Drosophila melanogaster: one gene and its partner. The protein of the gene in region 2 interacts with the protein of the main gene of each other region in a pairwise test. Each region holds a gene or a part of one and is shown on either strand. Other genes may lie near its edges.

Region 1 (5,009 bases), on a different chromosome or scaffold from region 2:
TTTGTCAAACCGCAGAAAGCATGATCTTCATCTGAAAGTTCGTTTAAAGAAGCTTCTCTACAATCCGCTATAACTTCCCACAAATATGATAGATAGTTATTAAACCTTAAAAATTAATTAATCACATGATTTATAGAGTGAATCATAGTGCCTTCCCCCTTACGCATATAACGTAGAGACCAATGTATATTTAACCACATATTTTTTATAGGTTCAAGCCTGGAAGTCCTGCTTTGGTGATTTCGAGGCCCCAGCCGCCAAGCCCACCAAGCACCTGAACCCCTCTCTGCACACCGCTGACAAGCAGTTCCTCCAGGAGGTTGGATTCATCAACAGTGCCGCCGATCATCTGGCTGAGATGGCCAAGCCCTCGAATGTCCTGATGCTGCGCGTTTCCGTCGATGGAGTGGCCAAGGCTCATGGCGAGAAGTCCGTGGCCGTGGAGGAGGCCAACAAATTGCTGTCGGCCGCTATCAGCCGCCTGCTTGCTGCCTCCCAGAAGTCCAGCGACTCGGTTCTGTTTGTCCAGACCACGGAGAAGGACGTGGCAGCATCGCGTGCCAAGCGTGATACCATTGCCGCTTCCACCACCAATCCCTACAACCTGGCCGTCTACTACGGCAGCGACTACCCGGTGATCTTCAACATCATCCTGTGGTTCATGGTCGTCTTCGGACTGTCTCTGCTGGCTATCTGCTACGCCATCGCTGCCATGGATCCCGGCAGGGACTCCATCATTTACCGCATGACCTCTACCCGCATCAAGAAGGACAACTAAGGAGGAGCAGGAGGAGTTGAGAAGCGAGAGGAGCAGGAGGAGCGAGAGGAGCTTGCGTTACGCTTTGTTATTTCGTCCCCCTTTTAAGTTGAAATTTGCCAACTTCTACTTCAATCCAACAGCGGATAAATTGTGTGTTTGTGTGTGTGCGGACAGCTGTCGCAGTAGTTGGTTTTATTATCTATAAATAAGTATTAAAAAACTTTTCAGTTTTCAATGCAGTTGCGGGCGTCGCAACAATTCCATAGAAATTTGTTACATTTTCCTGTTTTGTTGTACTTTTTAGGTTTATATATATATACGAATATGCACAACATACTCGCCAAGTCAGTCAGTTCTTCAAACGATTCATCATATGTAAATTATCAAAATGTGAAGTGTTGAAAAGTAAAGTTAAATATATATAGCCTAAAAAGACAAAGTTGCGCCTGGTTTTGTTATCTAGTTTTTGGGGCAAATGATAATTGAAATCATACGTGGTATTCTTGATAATTTATTTAATTATTGCACTTATAAAAAGGTTAACATGATAAACTAATATAAAATGAAAGCTATTTCAATTTTTTTCTTCTCAAAATCGTAAAGTATGGACCTTAACTTTTATAGGTTCATGGAATGACTTTGGCAAATTGCGGATATAATATAACACAAGTTTTAAATTGAATATTTAAATGAATTCCCTTTGATATTCGTTAATTCAAGTTACGCTCCCCAATGATCGTTGCCATTATCATAAGGTGAACTACTTCCGCCGCTCCAGGCACAGCATCCATTGCCATTTTGACCCACGGAGCTCTCCCGCAGCATGGCCTGCAGGTGATTAATGTAGTTGATGGCAATCCTGGGTAGGCAAAGATCATATAAATATATTACAGAGCTCTACCGCAGATACTTTCACTTACCTCAAACTCTCGATTTTGGAGTACTTTTTCCCATTTGGCTTGGATATGGGTAGCTTGGAGCGCAGTAAGTCAAAGGCTCGGTTCATGTCCCGCATCCTGGTTCTTTCCCGATCGCAGGCGGTGCGTCTATAGTCCTTCTCCATTTGCAGCGCCTTCTCCCGCCAGGCGGGATTGTGCTCTTTGGCGATGTCCACCTCAGTGCTATTGGCTATACTACCGCCGCTATAGCTCATATACATGGGCGGAGGTACCAGCTCACTGGGTTTGTTGCATTCCAAGCCCACTGGCGAACCGGTGGCCACCTGGCCAGCATGCCACATCGACACCGGCTGAGGTATAACGCTATATGTGGGTGGCAACAGACCCATATTGTGCGCTTCCTTCTCGTAGCCACCCATCACGCTGGGTGAGTAGCTATGCGGATGAGTTGGCGCATATGCCAGCAAGCCTGCTCCATCCGCGGTTAGGGTGTAGTTGAGACTAACTGCCGGACAACTGGACGATTGAGGGGCACCGAGCTCTAGAAGAACGGGCTGTTCCGATGATTCCGCCTCGCCCTCGGATCCACCGCTCAAATAGGGTCCACCGGTGGTGGCTGATACGGGCACCAAAACTGGCGGTGGATCACCCGGTACGCCGGCCGTGGAGCTCAGCAGTTGATCCGTCATCGCTTAAGCCGCTTTTCGAATGACCGATCAAGAGTTCTGGCCGGACTGCAGCAGGTTTACCTGGACTCGGTTGGTTTTTTTTTTTTTAGCTTGTACCTTTTTGTTTTGCTTACTTTTAGTTGCATTAGAGACGACTCTGGCGATCGTGATGAATGGCTCACCATCGATCCATCGATTCGAGACGTGACTACTCATCCGGGGTTGATGAGGGCCACATCTCGTCTAGTTTAAGAGGCCACCGCTTTGTACGTGTGTCAACAGGTGATCTATAGGGGACCAACTTGTCGTCGAGGGTCCTTTTGTCCCATCCAATCGCTGTGCAAACAAAGCGGCTTAATTTCCTCGCTATTGTCCGATCGATCCGACTCCGACGGCTGCGAATGGTGATCGAGGCGCGTGTGGCAGGCTGGAGTTGCGTCCGACTTATGTCGGATCCCTCTCTGGGATCAGCGATCGACGATCGTCGCCACAACTTCAGTTTGAGTTTTTCTTTTTGATCGTCGCTATGTACAAACACCCACACTGGAACTCAGCCCATATGAAAGAGTGTATTTTCGACGCATGTAAACACAAGTGTTTTGACTTAATTAAAAAATACACACATATGCATATAGCTAGTTATGAATATAGGTTCGTCTATATGAAGGTAAGAAACCTAAGCTTGGCCAATCTAGCTCCAAACTTCGCCCAATTCTAATTTCAAACTAATTTGGTTTCTCTCTAGTCAATGAAAAACCGTGATCGCCAGCTAAGTGCTCTTATAATCCTATTAAAAATTATATTACATATTCTATACCTATTTTTATGATTTTTCTTAATTGAAATAGATACTTGCTTAAAAGACTGAGATATTGAGCACAGTTTCCATTATTACTACATATCTTCTTTAATTAATAGTAATTAACTAGCAAATTATTTTTTTCTTCCGAAAATTCAGAATTCCTGAAACTATAAACCGCAAGGAAAAAACTAGAAGAATATCTACTGATAGCCCGCGAAATTCAATTCATGTGCAAGATCTCGGGTTACCAGAAAAAAAAAACAACACACAACTAGAAGTGAGAAAATTACTTACATTTTTCCGAAGTCGAGAGTTATTTTGCTAGCTGGCTAACCAGAGAGGCACCTTTGCCCGGAATCGGAAATGAATATGAGCAGAGTGTAGTTTCTAGGGAAACCTAGAGAGTTGACTTGTTTCTCTCCTTGGCTGAACGTTTCGGGTTTCCAGGAAAATGTATAGACTTGCTAACAACTTCCCAAATGTGGGTCACTGTGGTGGCAATTGCAAATCGAAGCCGAAGTTTATTGTTTTCTGCTTTATAAAAATAAACACGCTGTGTAAAAAATAAAATAAATAGCGAGTACAACGATGCATTAAGTGGGCGCCACACGGACTCAGAGCCAAGGCATAGATCAATTCTGTATAGCTATTTACATAGAAGTGCCTTAGTCGGTTCGGTGCTAAACTAATATCGCTTAGTTCGATTTAAGCTAATTTCATATAAACTGGTAGTAAGAATCGATGTCAAGCAAATGCAGGTACCTCAATTCGGCTACCGTTCTAACTTCCGAACTTCAGGGGTCGTAGTTCGAAGTACTTGTCCAGCACTTCGTCCGTAATCAGCTTGCGGGCGGCCTGATGCTGTTCCACAATGGGTGTGAGCGTCTAAGAAGATCATTTGAGCACATTAATTACAATGTTTTTTGGGAAGATTGTAGCATCATCATTGCACTTACCTCAACTGCCAGCTTCTTGATCTCGCCCGTAAGCATTTCGCCTTTGCTGTAAGCCACTCTCACCTCCTCCAACTTGGCATCGTCCTCCAGGAAGAACTTCAACAGCTGATAGGAGACATCAACTTCCGGAACTCCGCCCAGCTTGCGGTGCTCCTCCACAGATACGCGTCCTCCGGAGAAGGCGTACTTGTTGATCTTGTTCTTAATCTGCTTGGGCGTGTCCGTCAGATAAACAGCCGAGTTCTGGTCGCTAGCCGACATCTTCGTCTTGGCACCCTGCAGCGCCGGGAAGAAGGTCGAATGGATGAGCGCGCATTTGGGAAAACCAAGACGTGGAGCCACATCGCGAGTCATGCGGAAATATGGGTCCTGATCGATGGCGCACGGGATGAGGCAGTGCACCTTCCTGTTGCCGAAGATGAAGGGGAAGGTGCTGGAAATCGCGGGAGCTGCTTGAGCGGCTGGGAAACCAATCTTGCCAATGATGTCTGAGTCCCCGAAGCCAAAGATGCCCTTGACCTGATTGAAGGTAACGCACTTCTGGATGCGAATGATGTTCTGATACATGGCAGGACATTTTCTGTAAGTAATATAGATAATACAGATTATACAGGTTAAAAGTTTTTTAATTTACTTACCCCACGAATTCCAGGTTATTAAAAATGAACGTCTTGTTGACATCGAATCCAATGGCCACAATATCCTTGGCGTTTTCACGTCCAAGCTTGATGGCATCCTCCACTTTCAGATCCTTCCACAAGGTCTTCTCGTCGTCGGTCAATTGAATAACCAGCGGCACATCAAAGGTCTCCTGCAGCCACTTGGTCATGATGAAGGGCACCAGGTGGCCCACGTGCAGGGATCCGGAACTGGGACCGCGACCAGTGTACAAATAGAAGGGTTTGCCCTGTTCGCGCAGTGTTA
Region 2 (7,680 bases):
GTACTTTAGTGCAGATCTGTCAACAGTGTTATTTAAAATATGCAACAACTTTAAAGAAAATATGTTTTCAAAAAGGTGTTGGGTTAAGTTTAGCACAAGGAAATCGATCGACTACTTTTACCGCATGATTAAACTAGTTAATATGGTTGCTAAGATGTAAATAGGTCGTTTTTTCAAGAAAGTGCCTTAACCTAAAGATTTAATGATACATTTTAGGGCCTTCCATAGAGCATCCCAGATTTATGGGCTCCGCGGAAAAGCTTTTCGTAGCTGTTCAAAGTGTTTCCCCAGCGGTCCACTGGGGTCCGATCCGAATTGACATTTGAATGGGGCGACTGGCACCGAGTGCTCCGAGTGCCGAGCTCCAAGCTCCAAGCCCCGATCTCGAAGCCAACCCGAGACTACAGTCGCAATTGCCAATTGGTCAGTGCATTGTAGTTGCAATCATTAACGCTAATAGGCCGCCAGATAGCGGGAAAGAGAGGGAGACAGTGGGCGGTGGGCCGTGGGAGTGTGAGTGTGAGTGGAAGTGGGTGGGCAGGCAGCTGCGGGTAGCGCAGAAAATCCAAAACTAAATCCACACCCAAGTGGTTCGTACGTGAAATAAAAGGAAAAGCGGCCAGGCCACAGTGAAGGAAATTTTCTCAACGGAAATTTTCCGTCCGCAATTCGCACACGTGTGCAGGTCGAGTTTTCAACGGACCCTACGGCCGTTTTACCTGGGAAATGGAAAATGGGAAAACCAAACCCCTAATGACAAAGGCGGCGGCTGCGTGAGAAAACTCGCTCGCCCATGAAACTCCGAGAATAATATCATCCACCTCATTGTTCTGGTAATTCGTTGCACTTGTTTACATGTGAAAATGGCCATCCAGCTGAGTTTTCCTCCCCCGGCTACTTGTTGTCGTTGTCTGCAGGTAGTTACCGACTTTTGCGGTAAGATCTGGTAGTTTCTTAATCCCCTGCTCCCAACGGAAATCCATTGACATATTCGATTTTTAATGTTTTTTAAATTTTTGCAATTTATTAAGAGCTAGTGTTTGTTTTTCTTTATGTTTTAGATAATATATTTTTTCGCAACATCATCAAATGTTTTCTTTTGTTTTTTTTTTTTACATCATGATAGAGTGTTTTTACCATCGAAATGAGAACAAAAATGTGTAATTTCGATTGCGGATCATAATTAAAATCGCATAATTATGCTAAAAAAAACACTTTGTACAAAGTATGCTACAGATCACAGAACATATATTAATATATATTTATAGGTTTTAGTGTATATCTGGTAATAATTATTATGCATTATGCGTTATTTCGATTAAAAAAGAGGAAAACGATCCAAGGGACTCGGAAAACTACAAAATGAGGTGTTTGTGTTTTTCTATGTGAGTGGTGTGAGTGAAAATTAGTGCCTGGAAATGAACTTTCTCGAACTTAAACTCTAAACGTACTCTCTCGATATAAATTAATGAATTTGAATGTGTGTGTGCTGCTGAGTTGGTTGTTCTTGTTGTTTATTGGCTGTGGCTAATCAATAATAGGAAAACTCTTCATTGATTAAAATTAATAGGAAAATCATTTGGATTGAAATCATATAATCGTAATGCAGGAAACGGTGATTCAACGTAATTCCAGTTTGGTGCCTGTGCATTTTTATAATTTTTTTTTATTGCTGATCTCTGTTTGCTTTGCATTAGTAACATTTTTTCTTGCGTTGTTTAAACCAAAACAAAACTAAAATTAGGAAAACAAAAATATATGCTTCAGTGTAATTTCAAGCGTTAAAGGAAAATTAAATTGTTTAAAGCTTTGCCAAGTTTTCTTTCTTCCGTTCATTCTTAAGCGCCATCATCCTAGTTGTAATGTTTAATTAATAATCATAATGTGTACTTGCTTACGCTGCTCTAATGCTAGGTTTTGTGTTGTTGTATTCTTGTTATTAAATGTTTAAACTAAACTCTGTTGGAGCCAAAAGCGAGGTCTCGTTTTCCCGGGTTTTCCGTTTCCCGGGAAAAGGAGCGTTGAAGAGATGCGCCTGGGCTGTGGTTTTCTTGAGAGTTTCACACGTTATCTTATGCGGAGATCTTCACACGAAGGTTGCGAGTGGAGTTTTGACTGTACTTTCATTATGCATTTAGTTAATAGGCTTATAGGTTCCGTGGGTTTTCCCGGCTGGGCGTTTCCACGCTTACGACTGTCTGCTGTCTTTCTCCGCATTCTGTGGCTAAAAAGAGAGAAGCGGGAAGATTCAAATTAGTACATTATTAATGTGCGATTGAAATGCAATAATTAGTTTATAAGCTGTATTATTTCGCCATTCTATGTTATCAATTAGTTCCCTGTTCCACTGATTTGTTTGTTTTGTTTGTGTTTGGGACACTCGCCGAGAGGCTGATTTCGATGAGTGGAGGGGATGGGGCAATAAAGAGGCGCCAAGAAAATCAAACGCGCTGTCATTGAGCTTTTGTTTTGCACTTATTTGAGTTCTTTGGCACTGGGAAAAATGTTTTGCACTAAGAACATGTGCATTAGAAGATACAACATGTTTTAAAATAACATCTCAGGTAGCTTGCTTGCACAAGTATACCCAGTTGAAAATCAGCAAAACGTTGAAATCACGCAGTTTTTCCCCCAGTGTCTTGCGCTCTCTTCTCCTCCGTCTTCTGCTCTCTTACTGCGAGGGGGCGGTTGTGGAGGGGGGGGGGCAGGATCCGTGGGGGGAACACAATGTAGAAAGCGACCGACTGGCGACTGGCGCACAGCTGCGCGAAAAAAAAATCGAAAAAGAAACAGCAAAAACAACTGAAAACAACCCACAGAGAGAACATTTTGAACACGTGCATTTCTTTTTACAGTTTTCTGAGTGCCCCCATGTGTTCTTCTGTGTGTGTGTGTGTGCGTGTTTTCGAAAGAATTCTCGGATTGTTGTTGGCTTGTTGTTGTTGTTGCGGCGGTGACACATCATACAAACACAAAAAGTATATATGTTTGTGGGTTGCAGATGTTTTGCAACAAAAACACAAAAATTACGCACCCAAAATGAGAGAAAAGAGACCTACGCAAAGCGGACTGAGCTAAAGACCCACAGTTAATTAATCAAAAATTTAAGAAGTAACTCATAGCCAGGAATGACGAAGGCACGATTTCAAAACCATCTTTCTGAATTTCGAAGAAGGGTTTCCACCTTCACAATTAATCAACAATCAGAGATCGAAAATTAATAACACTTGCCGGGCCACCCAGTCGATCATTTGTTTGAGAAACCCATTGAAAAAAAAGCTTTTTCGAACCTGTTTTTACGAACATATTGTAGATCTCAAACGAATTTTTTCGCCAGCATCATTAATAACCGAAAGTCCAAAAACGAAGAAGTAACGAAGCTGAGAGCTAATGAAGTGAGCCAAAAAATAAACCCAAATGAAATAAAATACGAAGACTGATGATTCCCCAATTCCAAATTCCGTTTTCAAGCTCGCAAGTGCGTGTGAGTGAGTGAGTATGTGTGTGTGCGAGTGTGTGTGAAATAAATTTAAGTATCTGCAGGTGTTCATTTAAAACATCACAACAACAGAAAAAGGCCGCGAGAAAAAATTAACAGCTACGTATAGGCAACACACAAAAGAAAGAAACGATGGCGACAACAACCGCAACGCATACAATCGCACAGAGACGGTCTGTGAAATGTCTATAAAAACGAAATGAATCTGTGCGGCGAAGAAGAGGGTACGACAAAATCGGGCAGGCCGCGTTGTCTAAAGCCACCCGCCCAATAAAGAAATTTCCCAAAACTCGCCAACGAAACGAAACGCGCCTCGTCCTTCCGTTAAAAAAAAATAAAACAAAATGAAAAAAAACAACATTCACGCAAACATTCGTCAATCGCCTTATGAATGAGGTCACTCGCGAAACAAAAACAAGTAAAGCCAAACAGTTTGACACTCAATTGTCTCCTAAATTTGCAATGCAAATGCCAAACAGCTGCGGTCAAAATAATGGCACTCAAGGAAATAGCGAAAATCGGTGGATCGCAAACTTTGCGATATTCGCACTTCCTTATCGTAACTTTAGCAATTAATCGCTTTATTGTCTAGTTGAAACCAGTGAAGTCATGTACTTTAAATGTTTAACTATGTTATTTTCTCAAAAATAACTACTTTAAATATTCCATAACCTTATTATTTCTCCTAATATTTCGACCTGAGCTGTGCTCATCTGCCCACTTCCTATTTGGGTTTTTCACTACCCTAGCAATTTGTTTGTTAACTCACCGTTGCTAAACTGTTGGACAGTTGCTGCTGTGATTGCAGTTGTTGCTGCTGCAGTTGCAGTTGCTGCTGCTGCTGATGCTGCTGCGGATGGGCGGGCGCCACAAGAGTGTTGGGCGTTTGGCGATCGGTAAGCGGGAGACGGGCGGCGGGACTAGAGACTTTCGCCGGCTGCTCGGCATTCAGGCGCTGGGCGAGGATATCTGGATCGACTTCCGCTTCTGCCTCGGCATCCGCATCCTCCATGTCGCTGTCCTCGTCCTCGTGGAGTCCGTTCACCGCCGTCAGAGCGGCTGCCGCATCGAAGTTGCCCATCTCGGGGTGCGTCTCCAGCTCGGTCTGCAGGTCGCAGATGTAGTCGATGACGTGCTGGATGATCTCCAGCTTGGTGAGCTTCCTGTTCTTGGGCATGAACGGAACGAGGTCCTTCAGTTTGGACAGATACATCTTCATCTCGGCGTTCTCCCCGTCGCCGCGGTGCGTGGGATGGCGCTGGATGCGCCCGCTGGCATTCAAGGCCGGCATTCCGGAGGCACCTGTCTGGCAGACGGCCGTCAGGGACTTCATTCTGGAGATGATTGCTTTACGCTCCTTGAGTAGAATCTTGGCGGTTGTTACACGGTCGTACCGGATTACTTGCGAGGTTCAGTTAAAGATTGCTCTTGACTGGCTTTTCAATTTGATTTGATTTCGGCTTTGTGCGCTCACTTCACTTTGTTTTCTCACTCTGTCGATGTTCGAAACGAAACACTTTAATCCAGCGTGTTTTCTGCGTTTACGTTCTCGATTTCTATATCTTTTGCTGCGAGCGGTCAGACAACGAATGAGTGGTGCTCGCTCAGAGCGCCCGCTTTTATACCCCCCGAACGGGCATTTCCGAATCCGATAGGCGGAGTCTTCGCTCTCGGGTTCGTTCGGCTGGAGAGAGATATGTACTTGGTTGGAGAGTGGAGACTGGGGAATGTGTCTCATTGGTGTCCATGTGGAACTTGGACCACAACTTGAAACCGGAATTTAGGAGAGTTCCTAAGAGGTGAGTTGCGGAGAGGTCTGCTTTGGTGGACAAGAATGTGGAATTAAGGGGTAGCCCTTCGTGTTTGGTCTTCACAGTCATCATTTCAAATCCACAATGAGAATGGAGTACGAATTTAAGCCTGAGATCTTAAGAGGGGAAGATGTGTAGTGTGAAGCCCATGAATTCTGAGAAAACTAATTTAAAATAATTCAAAATACAACTGAGGTATATATGCTATGAATTAATCCTTTCGGATACTTTCAGTTCTTGACAAAATATCCAACAAGTTCTACAGCCTGTGTGCCCGAACATCCACCTCATTGACTTCTACCCGAGATACCAAATGAAACTCAACCTTACCACAATATCCAATCCACAAGATACAATCCAAATTCCACACATAGTAGACACTTTTTAAAGCACTAACATTTCCCCTGACTCCACCACGGTCCACAGATACTCACCTTTGTAGACCCGGCTTAACGAGTTCCTCTCCGAAACTCTCCAAACAAATCTGAATACTCTCCACGAGATGCAAAATGATCGGTTTTTTGTAAAGGGGAAATGGTTTTGTGATTGGTCGGCTGCTTTTCTCAGCTGAAAATGAGAAAACACGAACAGTAACTCTCGCTCAATAATTTTCCTCTCACGACTGCAATGTTTGTTTTTCTTTTTTTTTTCTCATGTTTTGTGAATGAGCATGAAAATGAATGAAAAGTGTTTTGTGGGATAAGGAGGTTCCACAATCAACACGAAAAGGCGAAAAAGACAATGCGAGTGGTTCAACAAGGGCTTGATTAATTACAGAATGAATATTAAATATATGCATGGGTAAATTAGATTTTAATCGCTGTGGAATGGTGAAAATTTTAAATCATTTGAAAATAAGAAGAGTAAATATTCATAATATATTATATTGGGCTAGTTAGTAGTAGTTTTCATTAACAATAACTATTCAAATAAACTGATAGCTCGAACAATCCTGTTAAGTTTTCGTATATAGACAAACGATTAAACGGTAGTCGTTCAATTTGTCATATTTATTCCTAACAAAGATAAGCGTTATGCGCCTCCGTTCAATGGAAAACTAGTCGTTATCAGTGGATTGACCAAATTCTTATTAACGAGTTTTCAAACGGCTAAATCGAAATGCACGGCTTATCTGCATCTTATCTTAATTTGAGTCCACGACATCTTGAACACACATAAGAGTTCGAGGCGCCTCGACTTCTCTCCCACTCCATTGCACCGAAGAAGTTGCAGGGTTTCTGGGCAAGAAATCCACGATTGTATTTCACACACATGATGGGTCGACGACGATCCATTGAGGAAATTGTGGAAATTTTCATTGAAAATGAGCGGGCGCGTCGTTGTTTGTGAAAAACGACACGTCTCTCTCTGGTTATCGTCTGCGTTAGAAATGGTTTTGAATTGGTTCGCTATGGCTGAATGGGAGACATGACTGGGCTCGAAAAGCTTGTGTTTATTGCTCTTCGGCTTTCGTGCCTTTAATTACTACGGTCTATTTGCAAGTTTCCGTGGAAACGCAGTTCAGGAATGTCCCGAGATCATACATACATATGTTCCTGGAAATCGGGGAACAAGGTGTTGCATGAAATACAGCAGAAATCCATGTTCCATGTCGAAAAACTAGACTCGAAATAACTAAAAAATGCTGGCAAAAACCAGCGACACAGTTCAAATTTCCCAGGGGAACGGAAGGCTAAAAAATACCGATCATAATTTTATGACTGCTGCAACAACGACGTCTCGAGATGATTTCACGTCTTCTTCGCCAGATTTCAGGAGACTGGAACTGAAACGGAGCTTACTTTACGACTCGCGAGTGTTTCGCCTGAATGACAAATCAGCAGCGCCGCCGAAGAACCAACAACAGGTTAAAAGCAGCAGAAACCTGGAAAAAAATGTAGAAAATCTATAAATACGCAATTTAAATACCCTACATCTGATGGTAAATTGTAGTTCGTTTGCATTGCAGTTGGTTTACCTATATCTAAGATGCACTTCCTGAGAATCTTCGATTTAATTCAATATATACCACAAGTATAAACTTAATATTCAAAGTGTATTTAAATCTGAAGGCAAGAGGGCCGCTATTTGCAAGCCATAGAAACTTGTGGAGGATGCGATGAAGATGAGGATCACATGTCAATCAGCGGGCGGGCACTTGCGGTGCCTTTTTTTTTTTGTATTTCATATATATATAATATATTGGGATAGGAAATCGGGGATAAGGGGATAAGGGGATCCCGACGTATCCCAGAGATGGCGTTGCAGATATGCAGCCGCATGCCGCGCCGCGTGCATTGCATGTTGAAATCCAATACCCGTCACTCAGTCCCGCTCCTCGAGCCCCAATCTCCAATGCGATCCCATCCG

What was found.
Region 1: the proteins of emc (region 2) and sage interact in a two-hybrid assay, tested with the Drosophila melanogaster proteins (one study listed by BioGRID).

The regions. Positions count from the first base shown.
Region 1 is NT_033777.3:9,261,395-9,266,403, forward strand, and holds sage (salivary gland-expressed bHLH), read right to left. Parts: upstream 2,749-5,009; 5' UTR 2,349-2,748; coding exon 1,681-2,348; intron 1,620-1,680; coding exon 1,481-1,619; 3' UTR 1,260-1,480; downstream 1-1,259. Other genes in the region: ATP6AP2 (ATPase H+ transporting accessory protein 2), read left to right, coding at 212-778; TrpRS (Tryptophanyl-tRNA synthetase), read right to left, coding at 3,910-4,014, 4,086-4,665, 4,724-5,009.
Region 2 is NT_037436.4:746,816-754,495, reverse strand, and holds emc (extra macrochaetae), read right to left. Parts: upstream 5,097-7,680; 5' UTR 4,833-5,096; coding exon 4,269-4,832; intron 2,225-4,268; coding exon 2,189-2,224; 3' UTR 1,004-2,188; downstream 1-1,003. UniProt on the Drosophila melanogaster protein: Participates in sensory organ patterning by antagonizing the neurogenic activity of the Achaete-scute complex (AS-C). It lacks a basic DNA-binding domain but is able to form heterodimers with other HLH proteins, thereby inhibiting DNA binding.